Coturnix japonica: one gene and its partner. The protein of the gene in region 1 purifies or fractionates together with the protein of each later gene. This does not show direct contact. Links are inferred from orthologs where the notes say so. Each region holds a gene or a part of one and is shown in the gene's direction. Other genes may lie near its edges.

Region 1 (10,971 bases):
GTAAAACGAAGAGCAGTTCTCAGAAGTATGCTTTGTGATTTCTGGCTTGCTCATAGACTGCCTGCTCGTTCCAAATGGGATGATGTGACAAATCAATACTTAGGATCTCTGAGAGGTACTCTGCCACGAGTTTCCCCAGCAGAAGACAGGCTCAGGGGGACCTGGCAATGCCCATTCCCCACCTGCACCACCTTGGGGGCTGCCTGAGGTCCACTGGGCCTGACCCACACCACCTCTCTGAACCCCATGATCTGAAGAGGAAAGGCAATGCGGTGCTTCAGGAAGTAACCTAAATTCTAGGTCTAAGCATGAAGGTGCTCTTTTGTTATTTATTCTGTGTTTCTCCAGTATTTTCAGCCCTGTTCGTCTAGCTGGTGTTAAAGGACACAAATCACAGCACTGCAGAGGAGCCATTGGGAAGCTCTGAGATGGTTTCAGGCCCACACACCATATCTGTGACAGTTTGTGCCAGAGCGTTATGGCCGCACGTGTAGCAGCAGATGAATTATGTGTGTGACAAGCTGAGGAGGAACAGTAGCCATGGCCTGACATTTTCCTGCCTACTGAGCACAGCTTGCATGGGGAAGAAAGCCAATGGAATGACACGAGGCTGTTTGTCACAGTGTGTGCTTGCTGTCTCTGTGCTGGCTGCATCCTCTGGTCACAGTTCTGTTGGCTGCGTGCCTATTTCTGGGTTAAATGACACAGCCAGGGGCACTGGACCTTGACCTGTTCCTGCAGCACAGTTGTGGCCTGGGCAGCTGGTACTCTCCCCATAAAAAATCCTAGGTGCAATTTAGACCTTAGCAGGGACAGGCAGTTTGGGCTTAGCTACCTTATTGCAGAGTGGAGTGGTGTTTAACAGAATGGAAGTGACTGAATGGCACAGATTAGCAGCTAGATCCCTTTCCTGGCTCTCGGGCAGTCTAATTTACTGCTGTAACAATAGCCTGCAAGTTCAGTGAGTTTGGAGGCATTTATCCTTCCTGCCTGTGGAACAGGAAGCTCCTGGCCCCTATCAACTACCTTTTCCAAAGTGTTTTTGAAAGATTATAGCACGAGTGGAAAAATACATTTCAAAATTACCAAATTAATCCTATTCTAGTTAGTCCCATCTAAGCTCAGACTTCCCCATCAGGCTTGTTAGGATTAAAAGAAAAAGATTCTCTCCATTCTTCTTCAAATCCTTGAACTGGCAGTCATAGAATCACAGTAATATAATATAATCATATAATTTAATCATATAATAGCTTGAATTGGAAATGACCTCAAAACCCTCGCAGCTCTAACCCCTGCTGTGGGCTGGGTCAGGGCCCCATCCAGCCCATTGCTGGGGCACACACAGCTCGCTGGGCAGCAGTGCCAGGGCCTCACTCCCTCCCTCTTTTTTTTCAGGATAAAGCAAACAGTTTAATTTCTATCATTCCCATTTCCTAAGTATGCAAACACGTATTTTTGAGTAACATGTTTTGATATGTAAATAACTACTTTAGGATTTTTTATTTTAATTGCATCAGGAAGTTCTTAGCACCAGAATGCTTAACGTTTCTGGGGAGGGGGAAAAAAAAAGTCCTTTATTAGCACATCCTAATGGATAATTCATTAAGTAGCACGGGATCGCTTCTACAGCTGTGGAACCACAGACCACCCTCATCCCGCAGCAGCAGCCCGGCCCCGCGGCTCCGCTCCGCCTCCCGACCCCACGTGTGCCGCATGCGCGCCGTGTCCGGCCGACCCCTTCCTGGCTGCATCGAGGCAGCTGCTGGCTGCGGTATCGCGGCCGTTCCGCCTGGATCCCTCCGCCGCGATGCGCCGGGCCCAGCGCCCTGCACAGCGCCCTGCACAGCGGAGCGAGTCCGGGGCTGCCGCCGCGCGGGGCCGCGGGCTGTGAGCGGGTCAGCGAGGGCCGCTCGGCCGGCTCCGTGGGGCTCGGCCCGGCATGGCGGCGCGGCGGTGCGCGGGCGGCGCGGCCGCCTTGGCCGAGGCTCCGGGCTGCGGCGCGGCGGTGGAGCCCGCCCGGGAGCTGTTCGAGGCCTGCAGGAACGGGGACGTGGAGCGGGTCAAGCGGCTGGTGCGGCCCGAGAACGTGAACAGCCGCGACACGGCGGGCAGGAAGTCCAGCCCGCTGCACTTCGCCGCAGGTACGGCCTACGGCCGCGCTGCCGAGTCTGCGGCGCCGGGGGAGGGCCGAGGGTGGCCGGGCCGCGCATCGCCGCCTCCCCGAAGCGCCGAGCACGTTCGGGCCGGGCGGTGGGGCGGCCTAAGGCCGTAGTCGCTGCTGTGGGGGCGAGGCCTTGTCCCCGCTGTCCGGCTGCCGGGCTCGGTGGGGCCGGAGGCCTCTCGCGTTTCACGAGTAAATGAAACGGCCCGGCCGTGGGGCTGCAGCACCGAGTGATGGCTCTGCAGCACCGAGTGATGGCTCTGCAGCACCGAGTGATGGCTCTGCAGCGGCCTGTGGGCTCGGTCAGCTCCGAGTGTCCCCGTAGTGCTCCTAGTCCCTCTGCAGCCCAGCTCGCTGAGCCTTTCTCCCACGGATGGTGCCCGACCGACAGCACGGTTCCGAAGTTGTTTTTTTTTTTTGCATTTGTGTCGTTAACAAATAGACTTTGTTAATTTGGCACTTAGGCAAATAGCTGACATCACAGAACAACTGCTGTCTCTGGTGGCTGGCCGGAAGACTGTATACCACCTTTTCAGACAAAGACACGATTGTGGCTGTTGTTTTCGTGTTGTTTCTCTGGTTGGATTGCAGCCTTAGCGGCAGGGCCCTGGGGTAGGCAAGGGGCAGCAGCTTTCAGCTAGAAAGTGCGTATAACTAATAACGAAGTTTGTTCCCCCAGTGAATTATTTTAGAAGAGGTTTCTAATTAATATGTCATTTTCTCTCATTCAGTAGCTTTAATGGATTTGAGTTCCTGAGAGCTACTTTTTCAGGACAGCTGTGATTTGCAGATTTAGGAAACTCGATCAGCAGGAAAGCCCAGGGGACAACATAAAGCATCCTGTCAGAGGAAGGGAGTTTTGCAGCTATTTTTTCATAAACCCCAGCCCTGCCTCATAGCTCATAAACTTCTAAATAAATGAGACTGTTTAACAGCATTTTGTAGATGTGGGTTGTTAGGTTGCTTGTTGGTTGGTTTTTATTGCTTATTTTTGTTTTGTGCCTGAGGGCATAGGCAGTGACCTAGTTTGCCTCTCTGGACAGGGCTGATCTGTCTTGGCTTTATAAACCAGAACTTCTAACTTACTGAAAACTTCTTTTTTTTTCATTAAATAGGCAAAGAAAGGCAAAAGTGTGAGTAAGTGCTTTTGTCCTTGCTTCTATCCCTTTCAATCTGAATGCAGAGAATTTAAATGTGTTTCTCATAGGACTGTAGGATGTACAAAAAGTTTCTGGCTAAGGCAGGATGTAAAATGCACGTGTAATGTCTTGATGCAATGCGCTTCCACTGCTTCAGATGGGCTGACAGCAAAAAGGGCTCTACCTGCAGTAGGCTCAGCTTGCAAGTTGGCCATAAGCAGCTCCTTGGGTTGGAGGTTAGGAATATTTTTGTTTGTTTTGCTTTTTCCATGTTATTTTCAGTTTGAGTAATACCAGCTTCTTTTGTCTCTGTTGCCTGAAGGAATTACATTCCAGGAAGCAAAAGCAAAAGTCTTGTATTCTGGCTTTGTTTAGCCCAGGTTCATGTTCTTAGAAAAAATGTTACAAAACTTCTCTGACTAGTTTCATTCACTTACGAGGCTTTGTTTTGTGAAGAGGTGGCGCTGAAACATGAAGATCGTTTTTGTGTTGCCATTTTTCTCTTTCAGGGACACTCTGGGTCCTGAACCCGGTTCCTTTTTCTTTTCCTTTAAATATCAATGTAACAGAAAAAGGAAACAAACTAACGCAAATGCTCTTTTTTTTTTTTTTTTTTTTCTTTTCTCTCTGTGTCCTGAGTAGTAGCTCTGCTGCTTTGCAGTAAGAAATGAAGTGTGCTGGTGGGACCAGCTATCTTGCATTGCTTTGAGCTGCAATAATATTTAGTTGGTCTTCTGATGGAAACTTGAGAGCTAAAAAGAAAAGCTTTAGAATAGATGAATATTGAAGCCATTCTTGCAGCAGTGGGCTACTAGCAAAGGGGGAGTCACTGCGGAGTGTGTGCCAGTAAGGGCTGTGTTCCTTGAGCATGCAATAGGAATAAGAAAGGTGATTGCACAGAGCCTGACCCCCTCCTCTGCACACGTACTCCCATAGGAAATGCTTCAGTATGCTGTGCCTTCTGGTAGGGATGCTCCCACAAGGCTGTGGGGAGCCCCTGCAGCACACTTTGTGCTGAAACCAAGTTCCAGAAGCTGGTCTGATGCAGATGATCCTCTGTCTCCACTCTACCATAACGGTGGGTGGTTTGGGGGTGTTGTTATCCCCCCAGTAGGGGCGTATTTCCCAGCTGGGCTGGCTTTGCCCTGAGAGAAGCTGATGTAGGAACTGTGTTTGATTGAACCCACATACTGACTGGAGGGCCACAGAGTGAATTCTCTACACCTATAGTGAGGCTTGCCACAGCTCACTAGCTGTACTGGTATGGATTGACGCTCACATTGGTTTTCTGTGTTCAGAACTGTGAGCACACGGCAAAGTTTTGATGGACAGTGATGCCTTCTATGCAAGAATGAGTGATGTTTATCCATCAGATCCATAACTGAGGCAGAAAGCTGGATCAGAGGCTTTTCTAACACAACTGGTAAAGTAGTTTCTGGAAAACATTTTATGGTACCAAAAGCAGATGCCAAGCAGTCTGCTGTCAAATAGCAGCAGGTTTGATATGTTCACAGGACTGAGGGACTCATGAAAAGTCTCGTTTGAACAGATCCTGTAAGAATTTAGCAAGTCGTGGTTATGCATTCACCCTAGAAGCAGAATTTCTGCAAGTTTTAGAGATGCAAGAAAAAATAAGTGGAAGAATGTGAAATATGCAGGATATGATGTAATATGTAGACAGCGTGGCTCTTCAGGTATATGTTGTACAGGAACTGATTTTTGACATATAGTTCTATAGAGATTGCTCTCGCAAAGGTGCTAGCAAACTAAGGTTTGAATAAACATGTTTGTCCAGGTGGGTATCGAGTATATGCAGGGAAGGAGCATCCACTACTTCTCTGGGCAGCCTGTTGCAGTGCTCTGTCACCCTCACAGTAAGGAGGTTTTTCCTCATGTTCATGCAGAACTTCCTGTGTTCCAATTTGTGCCCATTGCTCCTTGTCACTGGGCACTGCTGGGAAGAGCCCAGCCCCCATTGACTCAACTCCTGCCCTTATGTAATTGTAAGTGTTGATAAGATCTCTGAGTCTTCTCTTGTCCAGGGTGAAGAGCCTCAGGTCTCTCTGCTTTCCTCATGGGGCTCCAGGCTTCTGTTTACTGTCTGTCTGGGAGAAAGAGACACTGAAGTCAGGTTTAGTGAGGAACGTGGTATGAGAAACTTCAGTTGTGATGAAACGAAAACTGAAAAGTTTTGTTGTGAATAAAATGCTGGCGCATCTCGTGCTTCTGCAGTTCTGTCACTGGAACGCTGTGCAGTTGTCAGGAAAAAATACCATTTTAGGTTCAGATTGCCTTGACTCCTGGCTGCCTGCTGAGGCCAGGCAGGTTGGGTTGTAACAAAGATTAAAACCTGCTGGCTCTGAGTGCGCTGCTGTTTGCAATCACACAGTGATCTGGGCTGAGGGAAAGGCTCCCATGTGGAGGCTTCATCCCACACAATTCTCAGTTTTCCCTTGAAAATGGTTTGCACCACGGGTGTTTAACGGAAGGCCAAGCCCTGTGCATAAGGGGTCATTACCGAGCAGGTGCTTGGTACACATACACAAACATACAGCTCTCACCTTTCCTAATAACTGAGATTCAGATGGGTCTTCATGAAGCCTTTGAGGGAATTTTATAGGCTGTGTCCCTTAGTGTGTCTCTGTGTAGGCACAGAAGCAGCAGTCCTCAGTCACTGTGTCCTCATGCAAAAGTCCTAGAGAAAGCATGGACACAATTGGCAGTAGTTTGAGATACTGGTGTTTGTGCCATTACATAAATGTGCAAGATACAGCTGAAGTTAAACAGTAGAAGCTGTAGAATTAGCTTTAAAGAGCCCATCACTTTACTTCTGATGCATTGCTAACCACAGATGGGCACAGGTTTTTGTTGTACACTAACATGAATGACGTGAATGTAAAGTTTCCTTTGAAGGTGTAAGAGCATTTCTGTGCTTCAGACTAAGTTCTTACAGTCACGCAGGGAATCACTGAAAGTAGACTTTCTGGCTATCTTTGAATTATGGCTGTGCATGCTCATCATAAATGCTCTCAGATAAATGTTTTACGTTCCAAAGGTTTTTCTTAAGAGAGAGCTTCAAGGATGTCACAGTGTGCTCATTGTGCTAATGAACCCTTAGAGAGCAGACAGCCATACTTCTTGTTTTAACCTGAGAGTAACGCTGCTTGTTTTAACAATCAAGTTATATGAAATAATTTTCATACTATGCTATATGATTTGTTTATTTTTACTTAATATAACTTGTGCATGCCCTGGTTTATAGTCGCTCACCACTCCTGCTCCCTGAGCTCATCTGTTGGTCCTCCTGTAGCAGAGTATCATGCAAGATAGTGTTAGTTTAATGGCCACATAAAATGACTGAAAAAGAGGATTTGTTGTTGGTAGTCTGTCCTTTTGTTATGTGTTCAAGAAGCTGTTGATCGTGGGAGCCCTACCAAGATATTCATTGTTTTAGTGATCTTGAATATTACTTTCCTACTGATTTTAATATAATAATTGTGGGTATTTTTGAAAATAACCTTCCTTTAGTAAGGAACACCAGCTGAGATTTTTATTCTGACTGATTGCTGTCATTTAAATGTCTTGTTCCAGTATGAGTATGAGGGTCAGATATTTGTCTTCCCCTACACCTTTCTTTCATCCCCTGCACATGAGACAAAGCTGTTTCTCTTCCAGGTTTTGGTCGGAAGGATGTAGTCGAATACTTACTGCAGAGCGGTGCCAATGTCCACGCACGAGATGATGGAGGCCTTATCCCACTTCACAATGCTTGCTCTTTTGGTCATGCCGAAGTTGTCAATCTCCTCCTGCGGCACGGTGCAGATCCTAATGCTCGCGACAATTGGAATTACACTCCCCTTCATGAAGCAGCCATTAAGGGCAAGACAGATGTCTGCATTGGTAATTTTCTTGCACTTCTACTGTGACTAGTCATAGTGCACTAGAAATAACAAAACTTTCTAATAATAAATTATTTCTGTGTTTTCATGGCAGTCATGTTAAATTAGCTGAGGATATAAAGTAAGTTTTAGTAAGTTGAGCATGTCAATATAGTTACATATATTGACTATGCAATTCTTAAGAGAGAGGAGGGGCTAAGAGAGGTTGAGGTTTGGCTATAGGTGGCTTCCTCCACTTTATTCAAGAGCACATCTGGAGAGCAGTAAATATAAACATGGCCAGTTTGGCCCCGGTATCAGTGCAAGGTCTGTGAAGATACATGGCTTGCTACCACTGTGTACCATTTAGAGGACAGTCAGCTGTAGTTTTGAGGCAGTGTGCTCTGGACCAGTTGAGAAGGAGCCGCTGGTTTTAGGGCATATGTCAGTCTCAGGTTTTCACTGCAATTGCTGCCTGCTTGTTTCTGATTGTTCCACTTCTGTTTGGTTTTGTTTTTTTTTCCTCATGTGTTTCACTAGATCACAGGTGCCATTCAGGAATTCTGACATCAAAAGATTGAAAGGGGAAGTTGGGAACAGTAATAGCTTTTTGTTGTTGCTTGCTGCTTACATTGTCTCATAAGTCTTGTCTTGTCCAATTGTTTTCTCATGAAATACTCTTGCGTTTTGAAGTATTGCTGCAGCATGGTGCTGAACCGACCATCCGGAACACAGATGGAAGAACAGCTTTGGATTTAGCAGATCCATCTGCAAAAGCAGTGCTGACTGGTATGTGATGATCTTTAGATTACATTAGCTAATAACACTCCTATTATTGTAATACAGCATTTGTGTGGTGTTTTTTTTTTCCCCCTCAGTTACTTTAACTCATTTCTGTTTTAGAATTCAAGGTAGAAATTCACTGTATGGCTTTATTGTGTCATTGACAGGATGTGTTTTGGATAAATACTTTGTTATAACAGTTTGAAAATAACTTGTCAAATTTTTAGTGCTTAGCTCCCTGCAGCTTTGAAAGAGGATGATAAATTGCAAGCTTTAACTCATGAACTTAAATATATGCATATTTATTTAATAACTTTAGAAACTCTCTTTTATCTTCCAGGTGAATACAAGAAAGATGAGCTCTTAGAAAGTGCCAGGTATGCGTTTTTAAGAACACATCTGGAACTTAGCTACATTTTTAGAACTCTACAGGGGTTTTCTGTGTAATGAAAATATACATCCGTGGGCTGACATTCCATCTAGGTAGTAAGCTTTGGCTGTTTCTGTAAATAAAACAACAAAATATAACTACATAAACACTTTTTTGTTTGCTTTGACTTTAGTGTTGAAATAAATGAATAAACAAACATATAACTTCAGAACAGATTTCCAGAACGTCATAGCAAGGGAAAGTATGAGACCATAAGCCGCTAATAGAAGAGTTCTGCCTATTTCATATCTTATTTTACAGGAGTGGAAATGAAGAAAAGATGATGTCTCTTCTTACACCATTGAATGTTAACTGTCATGCAAGTGACGGCAGAAAGGTATTTTTCTTTAAAAATCCAATTTAAACTCTTTGTTGTTTGTCATAAGCTATTTATAATTTAGCAGTCATAGCTTGTGCTGGCTGTCTTGGTTCCCCTTTTGCAAGCAGCTTGTTTGTCCTGGCAAAGTTATTAGAGATATGGCAGTCTAAAATACAGAAATGAATTGCAGAACTCAAAAAATCTGTCAAGAGGTCCTTCATCCCAGAACTTATTAGAAATAAAGCAGATTCAGGATTTGTGTTAATTATGTCTGTAAAAGTAGCCAGTAAGAGATAAATTTAGTTATTGTGCATCTGATTCAAACTCTCTGGGTTTTGTTTAGTGTTACAGGTGTTTTGAGTACTTCAGTAATTAGTTCTGTTAACAAGTTTTTTGGGGGGGAAAAAAAAGAATAAGGCTAAATGCTGGTTTTGTGTTGCTGATTTCTGCTATGTTCTGTCATTTCAGTCCACTCCTCTACATTTAGCAGCTGGGTACAACCGTGTAAAAATAGTACAGCTGTTACTGCAACATGGTGCTGATGTGCACGCTAAGGATAAGGGGTAGGTTCATTTTTCTTTTGTTCAGAAGAAATGGAAAATGTTCAAAGTTGAGGTGAGGGATAGTAAGACTGTTTTAATTATTAAGATTTTCTGAGCTGAGACAACAAATCTTTCTGTCATGACAAAAATACTATGCAGACAGTCTTAAATATTGTGAAGCAGAAGAATCCAGAACTTACCATAAAATACGTCGCCTTTCAGGTATCGCTAGCCAACTTGTTTTTGTTTAAGAAAGTACTTCAGTAAGTCTCTGGGGAGTCAGTAAATATAGTAATGGCCTAGTCTTAATTTTATTTCTACTTGTAAGTTTCTCGACTTTTTTGGAAAGTGATGAAAAATTGAAGATCTGTTCTTCAGAGTTATCTGAGGACCATGTGTTTAAGCATTTGGTTGTTATATCAGAACATGTACTGAAATATGAATGTGCTGAGTTTTTTTATGGTTGCATAGAATATTTTTAAAATATGCTTTTCATTATATGTATACTTTCTATATTAAAGATTATGGAAAGCAAACCCTTGTCCATCCTTTTATCACTGCTATGTAGATAGCTGTCTGATCAGGCAACTTTGTCCATTCAGTGTTGAAATCCACTTTTGTCATTTCTCCCTTACTAGCCCACAGCTCAAGAGCATGCTTCAGATAATTTCTCACTGGCTCCTAAGACCATTCAGCTTGGTAGAATATGAAACAGGCTATAGAACTAGCTCTGCTGTTACTGTGGAATAATGTACAGTTACTTAAATAGTACCAGTAAAACTCCTCTGGTATCCAAGGGAGAAGATAATTTTATACCAATGTTCTTGTGAAAAAGGAAGTAATGACTGTCATCCTAGACAGTTATTGCTTTTACTTCTTCCTGATTAAGGTTCCAAGTCTTAGAGAAGCACTTCAATTACATTAAGACAGTGCTATTCATTTCTCACCTTCTTGTTAACTTATATGTTTGTTGTTCTGAAAAAAGCTGATCAGTTTATATGGGCTCCAGCTTCTCATTTCCCCTCATTTTCATTTGAACAGCTCAGATACTGATGTTGGTTGTTGTTTTGTTGGTTTTTTTTAATGTTTAAGGTGCAGCTTAGTATTATAAGCAATTTTTTAGATTTTAGGAGCACTAACATAATTTCTCTCTTCTCTCTTGTGTAGAGATCTGGTGCCGCTTCACAATGCCTGTTCCTATGGTCATTATGAAGTAACAGAGCTTCTAGTAAAGGTTAGTCTTTGAAGAAAATAAATTAGATTGGATAATATTAATTAACCACAGTTTAGACTAATAGACTGATTACATTTGCAAATTTTTCGTTCTTTTTAGAAACTTAAAAGTTGATAGATTGTACTTGCTGTATGTTAGCTATCGAGTTGAAGTTGCAGAATTTTCTGCTTGCAAGGAAGCTTTCCTCTCATAAATGTGCTTTCTGTTTTTAACTCTTGTTTTAGAAGCTAAATGGTTTTATACCATCAAGTAAGTACTGCTGCTCTCAATTGAATATTACAGCATAAATTGTGGCCCAGAATCATAGCCTGCACCCCAGAGAAAAAGTATGTGAACTTTTAAAATGTTAACTGAATTGCCTTATTTGAATTGTGTTAATCTTGAAGATAACATATGATACACGTTAAACCAAGGGCTTCAATATGTTCCCTGCAAGAGTCTGTGCCACAGTAGGACTTCTGAACTATGTTCATTCTCATCTGTCA
Region 2 (11,466 bases), on another chromosome or scaffold:
AAATGCATTCCTTCACTTGAGATTGCAAATCATTTATCTTCTGCTGAAGTACCTCTTCCTGATAAATGGTGGTAGTGGAGGAGCCTGATCATTATATTTTTAAAGTAGTTTGTCAGAGAATTCAACCAGCATGTCGTTTTGTCCTTCTTTTCCACTGGGGGAGATCGACACAATGTTTAGAAATACTCGATTGCTTTCAGATCATTTCTTGTCCTCTTTTGTAGGAAGAAGAGGACATAGAAACCTTTGTATATGACCTGGACCAGTGTAAGGGGATTGCAAGGCAGCAGCAGTGAAGCACACAGATATCCACTGGGCAATCTATCCTGCTGGATTGAGTGAGGCTACTTACAAGCATAAATGAAAGGTTGGTGTAAGTACTGTGTTGGAGCTGTGTGGTTATCAGAATGATGAGCCTTTAACTCTATTCTTTTTTAATATTAAAATAGTGTTTTTGCAAGCTATACTAACCATCCCGTAAGCACTATGGATGCCTCAAATCCTCAATGAGATCCTGTCGGCTCAGAGTTCATGCCACTAAGAAACACACTTTTCTGCTCTACACTGTTATACTCTCCGAGAACACTATAAAACAAATGTGAAAGCTGGTGATATTTCATAGTTTCCATCTGCAACATCAGCCTTAATTTAACAGTCCCATCTTGAGTGTCTCACAGAGGTAATAATGACAAAAATGGCACAACGGTTAATGTGGTGGCATTATTTTAAGCACTGATTGACATTCATTTCCTTCTCATATTTTATCATAACAACTCTGTCTTCTTTTCCTTCTTTGTGGAGAAAAGACTAGTGAAGTCATAAAAAGAAGCTCCTTCTTACAGCCACTGTTTGGTACAAGTTTTAGTTCTTGTCAGGAATAGTTTTGCACACATTTAGTCTGCAGTCCAGGAATCTGCTCAGTACATTAGCTGGACTGGGAGAGAAATACCTCTATTCAACCAACACAGTTTGAAGAACACAGTTTCCCCACAGTTACCATATACCACCTAGTGATACAAAAGGAAACTGCAATTTCCATTTCATTAAATGAAAGATGATGATCACTGCAGCACATTTGTGATATTTTGCTTTCTTTCCATTAAAATAAAATGTAGGCATAATAGCTCTAGCTCTAATAGTTTTTCATCGAAGGTCTTGTGACTCCAGCTAGTTTACAAGAAGATGTAATTTCTGAAAATTTCTCAGCCTCTCCTCATAAGAACAATGCTCCAGGCCCCTCATCATCTTTGTAGCCCTCTCCTGGACTCCCTCTAGGAGATCCCTGTCCTTCTTGAAACAGGGGGCCCAAAACTGGACACAGTTCTTCAGATGTGGCCTCACCAGGGCAGAGCAGAATGAGAGGATCACCTCTGACAACCTGCTGGCCACACCCTTTTTAATGCACTCTGTAAAACACTGGCCTTCACGGCCACAAGGATGCACTACTTGCTCATGGCCAACCTGTTGTCCATAAGGACACCCAAGTTTTTCTCTGCAGAGCTCTTTTCCAGCAGGCCAGCCCTTAACCTGTGTTGATGTATGTGGTTATTCCTATGTGGTTATTCCTCCCCAGGTGTAGGACTGCACTTGCCCCTGTCGAACCCCATCAGGTTCCTCTCTGTCCAACTCTCCAGACTGTCCAGATCTCACTAAATGGCAGCACAGCCTTCTGGTGTGTCAGCGTCTCCTTCCTGCCACATATTGTCAAGAAACTTACTGATTTCTGTCAGGTCAGTGATGAAGATGTTGAAGTAAGTTTCAATTCTGGGAAACTGCAGTAAGGAAAATAAAGGATTTCAGTGCACTATATTACAAGGCAGTAGTTGTGGATTTTTGTTGTTTTTCTTCATTGTTTTTATTTCTCATTTATTTATTTATTTATTTATTTATTTATTTATTTCTTCAAAATGAAAACCAAAGTTGTAAGCCCAAGCCTAGGCTTTGGAGGGCTGCTGATCACCTTGCAGCCAGCCAGGCCTTGCACTTCACCATAACAACTGCACTTCTGGGGAGCTGATGCAGATGTATGTTTGTCTCAGTGACTGTCATTCTGGCCCACCATACTGCTGTGACAGTACTCACAGGACAATCTTGTGTCAAGTACTGTAGAAACAACATATTTAACTTTTAAAAAGGAAGATTTGAGATTTTCCATACCCCAGCCAGCCTTTGGTGATGGCAACAACATATCACTTTAATGAAAATGTTAGAGCCGCGTGGGGGGAGCTCTACAACAGCTGAGAGGATAGGAACACAGTGAGCTACAAGCAACAGGGTTTCATGGAACAAATGTGTCATCAAAACACTGTCAGGATATTTGCTTTTAATGTTTTCACTTTGGAACTCACTCCTCAGCCCCTCCTCTGGCTGCCCGCACAGAGGAACCAGGGGCACACTTGTCACTCTAGTGCCATATTGGTGGATTCACAACTTCTCATTCTGTTCAGAGGGGTGGCTGAAGTTGTAGGTGTGAGGAAAAGGGGAAACGATTCCATATCCTATCCCATTTATGCCCCACCCCTGGAGGTGCTCAAGGACAGGTTGGATGGGGCCATTGGACAGCCTGATCTGGTGGGTGGCAGCACTGCCCATGGCAGGGGGCTGTGATTGTGTGGGTTTTGAGGTCTCTTCCATCCCACGCCATTGTGTGATTCTGTGATTCACAAATCACCTACTCTTTTGCTTCTATTGTGACCTGGAGAAGCTTGGAGCTTCTCCAAAATCTATTTTGATACAGACTCAAGCCACAGCAGGAGACTGTTTTCTCCTATCTTCCCCCAGCTATGTCACAAGCAGGGGTTGAGCTCATAGTATACCTGCATGTCTCCAAGGGTTTACATAGTATCATACACATCTAAAGAAGCAGAAGAAAGGTCTTTATAAATAGAAGGACTGAAACATGATTAATAGCTCTCAGTTGCCAAAGCATCAGCAGAATATTAATAGTGGGGGTGCAGACTCTTGCCAGGGGAGGAGGTGTCTTCTCAGGACTAGTCTGGTGAATCTTTACTTTTCAAGCCGCTGTGCACATTAAAAATGTAGTGGCAAGTATCAGACATGAATTCCAGATTGACGACGCTGTAGGCAATGGTAACAAAGAGAAACAAAGGAGGGCACGGAGCTACGAAGGAAGCAGAGGCAGACAGAGTGGTGGTGCTTTCAGTTGCAATAGACAGGTACAGCTAATGCACGTTAAGGAAACCACTGCTGGACGTGGGGCGATGTGCTGCAGGAGCCAGCACAAAGATGCGAACACAACATGCATTTAGACTGAAATTAAAGCTGGCAATGAAGGCCGATGTTATTGCAGGTACCATTCTTCGGTTACCAGCTTCGGCACAACCTGATATTGCCTTTAACCATTTCTTCACCGAGCGTAAAATGAAACCATACGTTCACTACTGCATTTTCTCGGTCGAACTAAACTGTCAGACCCCGGAACACAGACGCGGGTTTATTTATTACTGAGAACACTTCATTCAGGGTGCTTTATTTTCCTGTAATCTCCGTTCGACGGAGACACCGAACCCCCAAAAGCGGATGGTGCGCTCCAGGCCCCGTCGCCATGGCGGCATCACGAGCGCGGGGTGTGGCGGCGCGGCACCATGGCGTCACCCGAGCGCGGCCCCCAGCGGCGGAGCCGGTTGTGGCTCCTCCCGATCCGCGGCGTCACGGTGGCGCGGCCTCCCCCGCTCTGCTCCGGCCGTGACGTCGGAGCGTCCCGCGGAGGCGGCGGCAGGTGGCGGCGGAGCGGCGCGAGCCGGCCCGGCCCGGCGGGTGAGTCCCGGCTTGGGTGGGCGGTCAGCGCTGACAGCGGCCGCCCCGGGATCGGGATCGGGGAGGGAGCCGAGGCCTGGCCGGGCGGTAGGCGCCGGCCCCAAACAAAAGGCCGGCGGGCGGAGCGGGCCTGCCGCGGCCCTGCGGCGGGCGAGGACCGGCGGGTGCCGCCCTCCTGTCCGCGCTGGAGCCCAAGTCCCGCGGCGTCGCTGTTCGCCATCGAGGGAGGAGGGAGGAGGCCGCGGCCCTGCGCGAAACACTGGGCCCGGCGGAGAGGGGAGGGCGGCGGGCCGGGTCTCGGCTGCTGTCCGCCCGCTGTCAGCGGCCGAGCCTCGCAGCCGGAGGGGGAGCGAGGGATGTCGGCGAGCACAACAGGAAGAGCGTGAGGAGCTGCGAGCGGTGCCGCCAGGTGCTTTTGTTTCCATGTGTCTGTGCTCGAGGTTTTTAATTGCATCCTTCGGGAGTGGTAAAGCGGGGCGGAAAAATAGGTCCTGCGCTTTGTGCTATATGTATTGTCACCGCTGACAAATGATTGCGAAATACTCGGTGAATACGAGGTTTTTCATGCTGTGGATGTCCGCTTTTTGCATGTGAAGAAACCCCAATTAAGGCGTCTTATTTCCGTCTTCGCATAACTTTTCTGCGACGTGAAGTAGAAATAGGGTAGAGCTTGTTGCTGGGAGCGCAGCGTGCAGGGGGTAATTAAAAGGGAGAATAGGGAGCGGAGCTCTAAAGTGTTCTGTCACATCGGTAGCGCTGAAGGTACAGCGCTGCGGCGTTGTTAGATGCTGCCTCTGGGCAGTGGGTTGCTTAAAAATAGGCCTTCAAGTGCCTCTGAAAACGCACAGCCAAAAGTGATCACTTGCGGTTGTACCGAAGGCACGGTAAAACCTGAATATTGATTTGGGTCACTTTGAGTAAATCTTAAATATTTTATGTTTGCGCAGAGTTGCTTTATAGCCCTGTGAGGTTTAACGCTGTGGCTTCTTTCCAAGCGAATCAAAGTACCGATTGTTTAAATGGCCGAGTGAAAGTTTTGTTCTTTTTGTTTCCTCTTAAATCCACCACATCCATGTAGATGTAATGGAATTGCCCAGAGAGATGAAGCTGCAGGACTTTTGAAGGCTGTCGAATAAGGTTTGGAAGGCTCTTGGTGTTGCTGGGGAAAAATCTTTCTTGGAATCGATGATTATTTTTTTTCCTCCTTCTGTGCATGTTAATTTATATGTCACAATGCTCCTGTACTTCATTTCTCTCTCAGAAGCAGCGATAGCTTCAGATGAGCCCATTTTTGCTTTGTTTTCCCACAGGAATTTTGTCAGTGCCCTCTTATTTGAGTGCGAAACTGAGGTTTTCCTCACTTAAGTCAAATGAAGTAGGACACGGGCTCCCAGTTATAGCACAGCAGAAGAAATTCAGTTTGAATAAATATGTAGCCATTCAGTATCAAAATGGTTGACTGTTCTGCACTTGACTGTTTTTCTGTAACTCGGACCCACACCAATATACAAGCTTCTTAAAATTAAAGTGTAGTAATGCTGTTTAAAGGAACGACAGGGAATTTGAAGCCTTATCACATCATTGATTTCTGAAAGTATTTTAAGAGAGAGAGAGGAGGCAGTGAGATTATTTACCTGCTGTGCTGTCCGATGCTTGCAGGCAGTTGCAAAAACACCAGACAGGTTCCATACCTTTAGCTAATACTGTACTTGTGACAGTAGGCCTCCAGATGGGAGATATATATATGCATATATATATATAATTATTATTTTTTCTCCCTTATGAAACAGAACACCACCAGCATAAAGCAACTACTACCATCCTTCCTTCCTTTACCAGCATTTGGCTCACGCTGTCCTATAGGGAAGAGTTCTGGGATCCTTTTTCCTCTGCTTCTACCTTCCCCCACCCTACTTCCTTAGTAACTGAGATATATGTTAGGGAGCCCGATGGTAACAGTCAAGTATTGAATCACAGAAGAACGTTTACCTTTGATCATTTCTTTTGTAGCGCTGCACCTGTTCAGTTTTCAGCCTCTGGCAGTCAACGAATGAGTTTGTGCTAACTGTTGTAAAGTGGTCTGTCTGGTGTTGCAGAACTTGTGCGATCACCTTTCATTTGAGGCAGGGTTTAAGTGATAGCCTTCAGCGAGTGAGAAGCTGGCTTTAGTTGAATTTACCAGTGGTGTTTTGTTTTCTTCTTTTCCTAAGAAGATAAACTTTTATTTACAAAAATTTCCTAGGGCCGTAAATAACAAACAGTGCACTTATATTTAGGATCTGGCTTCTTATGTTTCTGGAAATGTGTTTATTGTTGCTATTTTTCCTATCACTTGTGTCTCCAAAATAGTAGAAAAGTGAGAAAAATAATGCCCTGGCTATGATACGCTACTGGGAATTTGATAGGCAGCAGCTGACTGATCTGACAGGAGATGGTTTCACTTCATCTTGGCCAAGTGAAAGCTTGATGATTTTATCAAAGACCTCATGCCGTTTTTGGATGACGGGTGTCCTAGGAGGGACACTGCTTCAGCATCCTAACACGGTGTGGAAGAAGTTGGCACGAGGTTCCCTAGCAGGCGTCCTGACAGCCTGCCAAGGAAACAAGGGGTGGTTAACGCTGGCTGAGCCACAGTGTGGCACCAGTTGTTGCCCAGCTGGCGATGCCAAGTTTAAATTCCAATTCCCAGTGGGTCGGATTGTCCTTCATCTGTTGTGGGCTGAGTGTTTCAGAATCAGTGTGCAATAGTCCTCGTGGGCTTGGTGAGGAAGGGACACTCACAGGTTGCCACAGATAGCGTAATTCCTCATATGAGATGCTTTTCTAGCATAGGAAGTTAATTGCTAAGTGTAGAACATGGCTCTCAGCCACTTTACTTCAAAGGAGCAGGAGTCCAGGAAGGGGTGTGTGTGTGTGTAACCACAGATGTCTTTTATCCCGTTTAGTAAAATTTCTAGGACTGGCTTATTAAATAAATAACAATGTAATGAAGCACGGAGGTTACCTGAAGTCAGTATGTGAACTAGTTCTCTTTAATAGCTGTGCAGCAATTACAAAGTTGCTGTGCCATAATCCTATAATTATGCCCTAATTGGATTCTTCTAGGTATAATTACACACGTTAACTACACGCACACACTTTTTTTTCCCCAAGAATCTGTCAGAAATGACCCAACCTCCTTCTCCCATCTCCACATAACATTTGGTCTCACAATGCGCTACCTCTAATAGCGGATTGCAAGAGGTAATAGATAAAAGGCTTCAAGTGAAGCCCACAGATGTACCATAGAAAGCCAGCCCTAAGATGAAGGACTGAATGCCACATTCACAGCACTGAGCTTGTTGCAGCTGTCTCTTTGATCATAGCAAACGCCATATCTTGTCTGAGCGGATTAGTAGAGCCAGAATTTTAATGTGATTGCAGCTCTCCAGATTGATGTGCAAAGGAACGATGAGGGGAGAACCATCTTTCGAAAAGGTGCTAGGACAAGTGGATAGGCACGTTAATTTTTGCATTTTTTTCCTTAGGAACGGGCTCTAAAAATAGCTGCACTGAATGCCACGTGAAGCTCAGCTGTAAAGAAAATAATGTTTGAGTAATGTGTCTTAGAAGTCATCTGAACATTTCTTTCTGATGTTGCTAGTGATAAGCGTTCAGACGTTGGATAGACTGTGGCACAGAAGGCTGTAATACAAAGTGTTCCATGTTCTTTCAGGGAGTTGTTGCTCCTCCATTTCTTTGTAGTCTGTATGTTAGTCTGATATGTATTTATAAGCACTGTATTTATGCTGAAATGATCCTTTCCCTGAGCAAATATTATAAGGAAGGCCTTATTCAACAGACTGCTTGAATTGTGGAGAGTGCCTAGGGAAAGTCCCACGTTTACATGCACTGTTTTCTCCTCAAACAGCTGCCTGTTTAGAGACGAGATACAAGAGTAGATAGATGGTCCTTTGGGATAATGGGATATGAAGTGGTTTTTTGCTGCATATGGATTTGGGTAGCTGTTGTTACATTCTAAACTCCCAGAATGCAAGAAGTCGAATACTAGAGGCTAAATTTGCATTAACATAACGTATTCCTATCTTTGATCTCATTTCTCCTTCTGTGTACATAGTTACTTTGTGGAAATGAGGCATTGACTTAGTATAGCTAAAGATAATTGCCTTTTGTAATACTTTAGGAAAAGATAACTTGCATAAATTAAGGTGTCAAAATAATTGACGTCAAACTGTGGGCCAGAACTGATAATTGCAAAAAATAAGACAAAGCCTGATGATAACATTTCTGTACATTGAAAACAGCCCTTGTCAGGTAAATGATAGTAATTCCATTTCTCTAACAGGACCCTGGTGGTGTATTTTGCTTGCTCATACCTCTGTACAACACTGTTACAATGGTGATACTGTTTGCTTTGCAGTAGCACTCATTGAATCCGAAACACAGTAGTGTAGCATTGGGTAGGACAAGGCAGGAGTGAGCCAGCCTTTGGAAGGAGGACCTGCCATCCTAGCTGGAGGCATCTGAAGACAGGACATCTTAGTCCTGTGACGTGCTCCAGTAGAAATTACTGAGAAGAAGTAAGCTGCTGCTTTATGAAGGGACTTATATGTGCTAGCTCCTTGACAGACTGCCTGCTTGCAGTTAGAATTGGACCTGGAATCTGAAAAAATTACTCTGTTTTGGGGTGGCTTTATGGGAATTTACTTTTTCTTCTGACAGAGCCCCAGTAGGCCAGGGGAATTTTCATACAGCTCTTATACATTACCTGGTCCATAGCAGTGTACTTTGTGTGTTGCTGAAGGCACCCTAAGCTTACCCAGTGAAATATAGGTTTAAATATTAATTTAAAAGAAAAAGATATTAGAGGCAAGAGGAGAGGATGTGTGATCTGGCAAGACTGTAAACCAGCTTCTTCTCAGTTGGCTTTGGGCTGTATTTCTATTAAAATGCAATGTTAAATGCTTGTTGCTCCTTTTTTTTTTATACCTGAACTGCTTATCAAAATACTTCAAATCATTTTGTTTATAGAAAGTGTCAATTTAATTTCTATTAGACGTTTGATTTATTCGATAACGTAATTTTTCCTGTTACCCAAAATGTTACCCAAATTTCAAAATAGCAGAAGTTTAGCATTAGAAAACCATTTTAATATAAAGCCTTTTTTGGTTAAGTTTTGCTCTAAAGTACTGCTATTAATTTCAGGGAAAATAGTCTGTACTCGGTTGTATTTAGTTATTAATATCACAAACCTGGAAGAAATTGCTTCTACAGTCACAGCTTTACAGAATAGCAGCCCTAGATGTTTCTCCTCCTTTCTAAAGGGCTTCCTGTTCAATAGAAATGTACATATAAAGCTACTGTGAATTAGGTCTGTTACTTAAATAGGTTAACAATAAAGGATTAATTAGGATCTTTCTTTAGAAACAAAAAGGAGACAGCCTCAGTTTAGTTGATCTAAATCTTCAATTGCACAATTGTCCTGCATTCTGAGCACATGCAACTGCAGTTGTGCTTATCTCTTATTAAGAGTTTATGTTGCTGGGTAGTGCTTGGTTGGAGATAAAAGGTTATTCCTCTAGCTGTATTAATTTTACATACAGCGTTTTCTTCCAAGTCATTAAAAATCACTGAAGACTTTCAAGATAAGACATTTATCCTTTCTGTATGTTTATGTGCTGTGTTAAGGTTTAGATCTGTTAAAGAATCAGAGAACCCCCAGATTAATAGGTGACCAGTTGGACACAGTTCAGGTGCTACAGAATTGAGCTTGCAGTGAACAAGTGAGAACTCTCACTGCTTTGAGTTTAGTCTTGAGTTAACAGAATTTGATTAGTCAAAATGAGCTAATTTTTAATCCCAGCAGTTTGCTAATTCTTAATTATGATACATAGTTTGTATAGCGGTTATTAATCTTCTGGTTGTTTCTCTTTTAATTGAAGAGGATAAGCTTGTAAAATGTATTTAGGGGAAGGATGGCTTTTGTAAAACTGCAGCATGGAAACAAAAATCTCAGCTGCTGTGCCTTATTTCACAGCAGTATGTTATTATGGGAACATCTGAAAATTCATAGAATCACCAAGGTTGGAAAAGACCTAAAAGATCATCCAATCCAACTGTTCACCTATTACCAATAGCTCCCACTAAACCATGTCCCTCAATACAACATCCAATCATTCCTTGATTCAGGTCTTTATTCCTCTGCTCTGGTTGGCAGAAATTAATCAATACATGGATTTCTCTTTCAGCTCTTTTGTTGTGAGATACTGATCGAATCATTTCCACGGGTACTCTGAAATCTGAGTAGCTTCTCTTCCTTTTTCTAGTACGCTTCTCGTCATAATAAAGAACCAACTAGTTCTGGTGTAAAATTTTGTTCCTAAATGCAACCCGAAATGTGTGAGGGTGCCAGAAAGCAGCTTGTTCACAACACTGCTAGCATGGATCTTGCACATAGATTTGTTCTGTACACTAAAGACAATTACCAGGTGGTAGAGCCGTTTCTGCGACAGTCACACTGAGTGAAGAACTAGCACACGGATTAGGGTTTAATCTCAGGAAAAAATTAGATACAATTGCATCCATCTACGTTTCAGTTTTAATTGCTACTTCAGGAAAATATGAGCTGTAGAGCTTTTAAAAATAGATTAAAATAGCTGGATTAAGGAAAGACATTGGACTTTCGAAAGGAAATTACAGTGCTAGAAGGAAATAGTATAGAGAGAGACATTTTAAGTAGATAGCACTCGCATATGCTTCTGTATCTATATTTATAATAATGCATTAGTTTTTTAATAGCCTGGCATATATTTGCATAAAGCAGCAAGGCTTTTGCAGTTAACACTGGAGATTTTCTCCTGGGGTAGTTGTGTTTTGCTAGAAATACGTCTCACACTGGGACAGGCTGTTCAGACAGACTGTGATACAACTGTCCTCACACGTTACCAAAAACTAATCAACACAAAGCTGTGACTGATCAGATCTGGTACTGTTGGTTGGGTCATGTGGAGCAGGAGATGGGACTGCATCACCTCTAACGGTCCCTTCCAACCCCACCTTTCTGTGACTCCGATCATTTTGGTTTAACTATTCTCAGTACAACAAAGACTAGTTTTACCAGAGGGCTGTTTTGCCGAGTATGAGCTGTATTCTGCCAAATTTCTGCCAAGTTGGGCGCCTCCGGTGGCGCAGTGGTAGGAATGCCGCGTTGCAACACAGGAGGCCCTGGGTTCGAATCCCCCTGTGGCGCAAGTGGTAGAAGTGCTGCTCTGCTACACAGGAGGCTCGAATCCCGGGGGGTGATCTCTAAGGTCCCTTCCAACCCGCACGAGACTATGATACTGTGAAATTCCTTGGAGATTTAATGTGGGAAAAGGCACCTTTTCAAGCCTCATCTCCCAAAATCAATTCTCTTCCCTCATTTGATATTTAACAGTTTTGTTTTGATTGCCAATAAGTAAGAATATAAAAGGAAAATTACCACGAAACAATCTGTAAAAAGATGGCCATGGCTAAAACATCTGTAAGCAGGTTCTTGCATGTCAAGGCTGGAGTATTTCACCTACTGAAATGCTACAAAGTGACAGAGCAGCACAGTTATGCATTTTTTGGTCTTGTCCTCTCTTTTCATACAGTTGGTTAGAAAAATCATCTGTAATGACAGAATTAGGCATGGCCAGAGAAAGAAGC

The links.
Region 2: the proteins of TNKS2 (region 1) and RNF146 purify together in Homo sapiens (co-immunoprecipitation; 3 studies listed by BioGRID and IntAct, with this or other methods). This does not show direct contact. The link is inferred for Coturnix japonica from reciprocal best matches to the Homo sapiens genes TNKS2 and RNF146.

Annotation. Positions count from the first base shown.
Region 1 is NC_029521.1:17,299,731-17,310,701, forward strand, and holds the start of TNKS2 (poly [ADP-ribose] polymerase tankyrase-2), read left to right. Parts: upstream 1-1,728; 5' UTR 1,729-1,939; coding exon 1,940-2,141; intron 2,142-6,975; coding exon 6,976-7,200; intron 7,201-7,871; coding exon 7,872-7,967; intron 7,968-8,301; coding exon 8,302-8,338; intron 8,339-8,652; coding exon 8,653-8,728; intron 8,729-9,178; coding exon 9,179-9,273; intron 9,274-10,419; coding exon 10,420-10,486; intron 10,487-10,971. UniProt on the Homo sapiens protein: Poly-ADP-ribosyltransferase involved in various processes such as Wnt signaling pathway, telomere length and vesicle trafficking.
Region 2 is NC_029518.1:53,752,191-53,763,656, reverse strand, and holds the start of RNF146 (E3 ubiquitin-protein ligase RNF146), read left to right. Parts: upstream 1-3,656; 5' UTR 3,657-3,777; intron 3,778-3,858; exon of another isoform or gene 3,859-4,186; intron 4,187-11,466. UniProt on the Homo sapiens protein: E3 ubiquitin-protein ligase that specifically binds poly-ADP-ribosylated (PARsylated) proteins and mediates their ubiquitination and subsequent degradation. May regulate many important biological processes, such as cell survival and DNA damage response.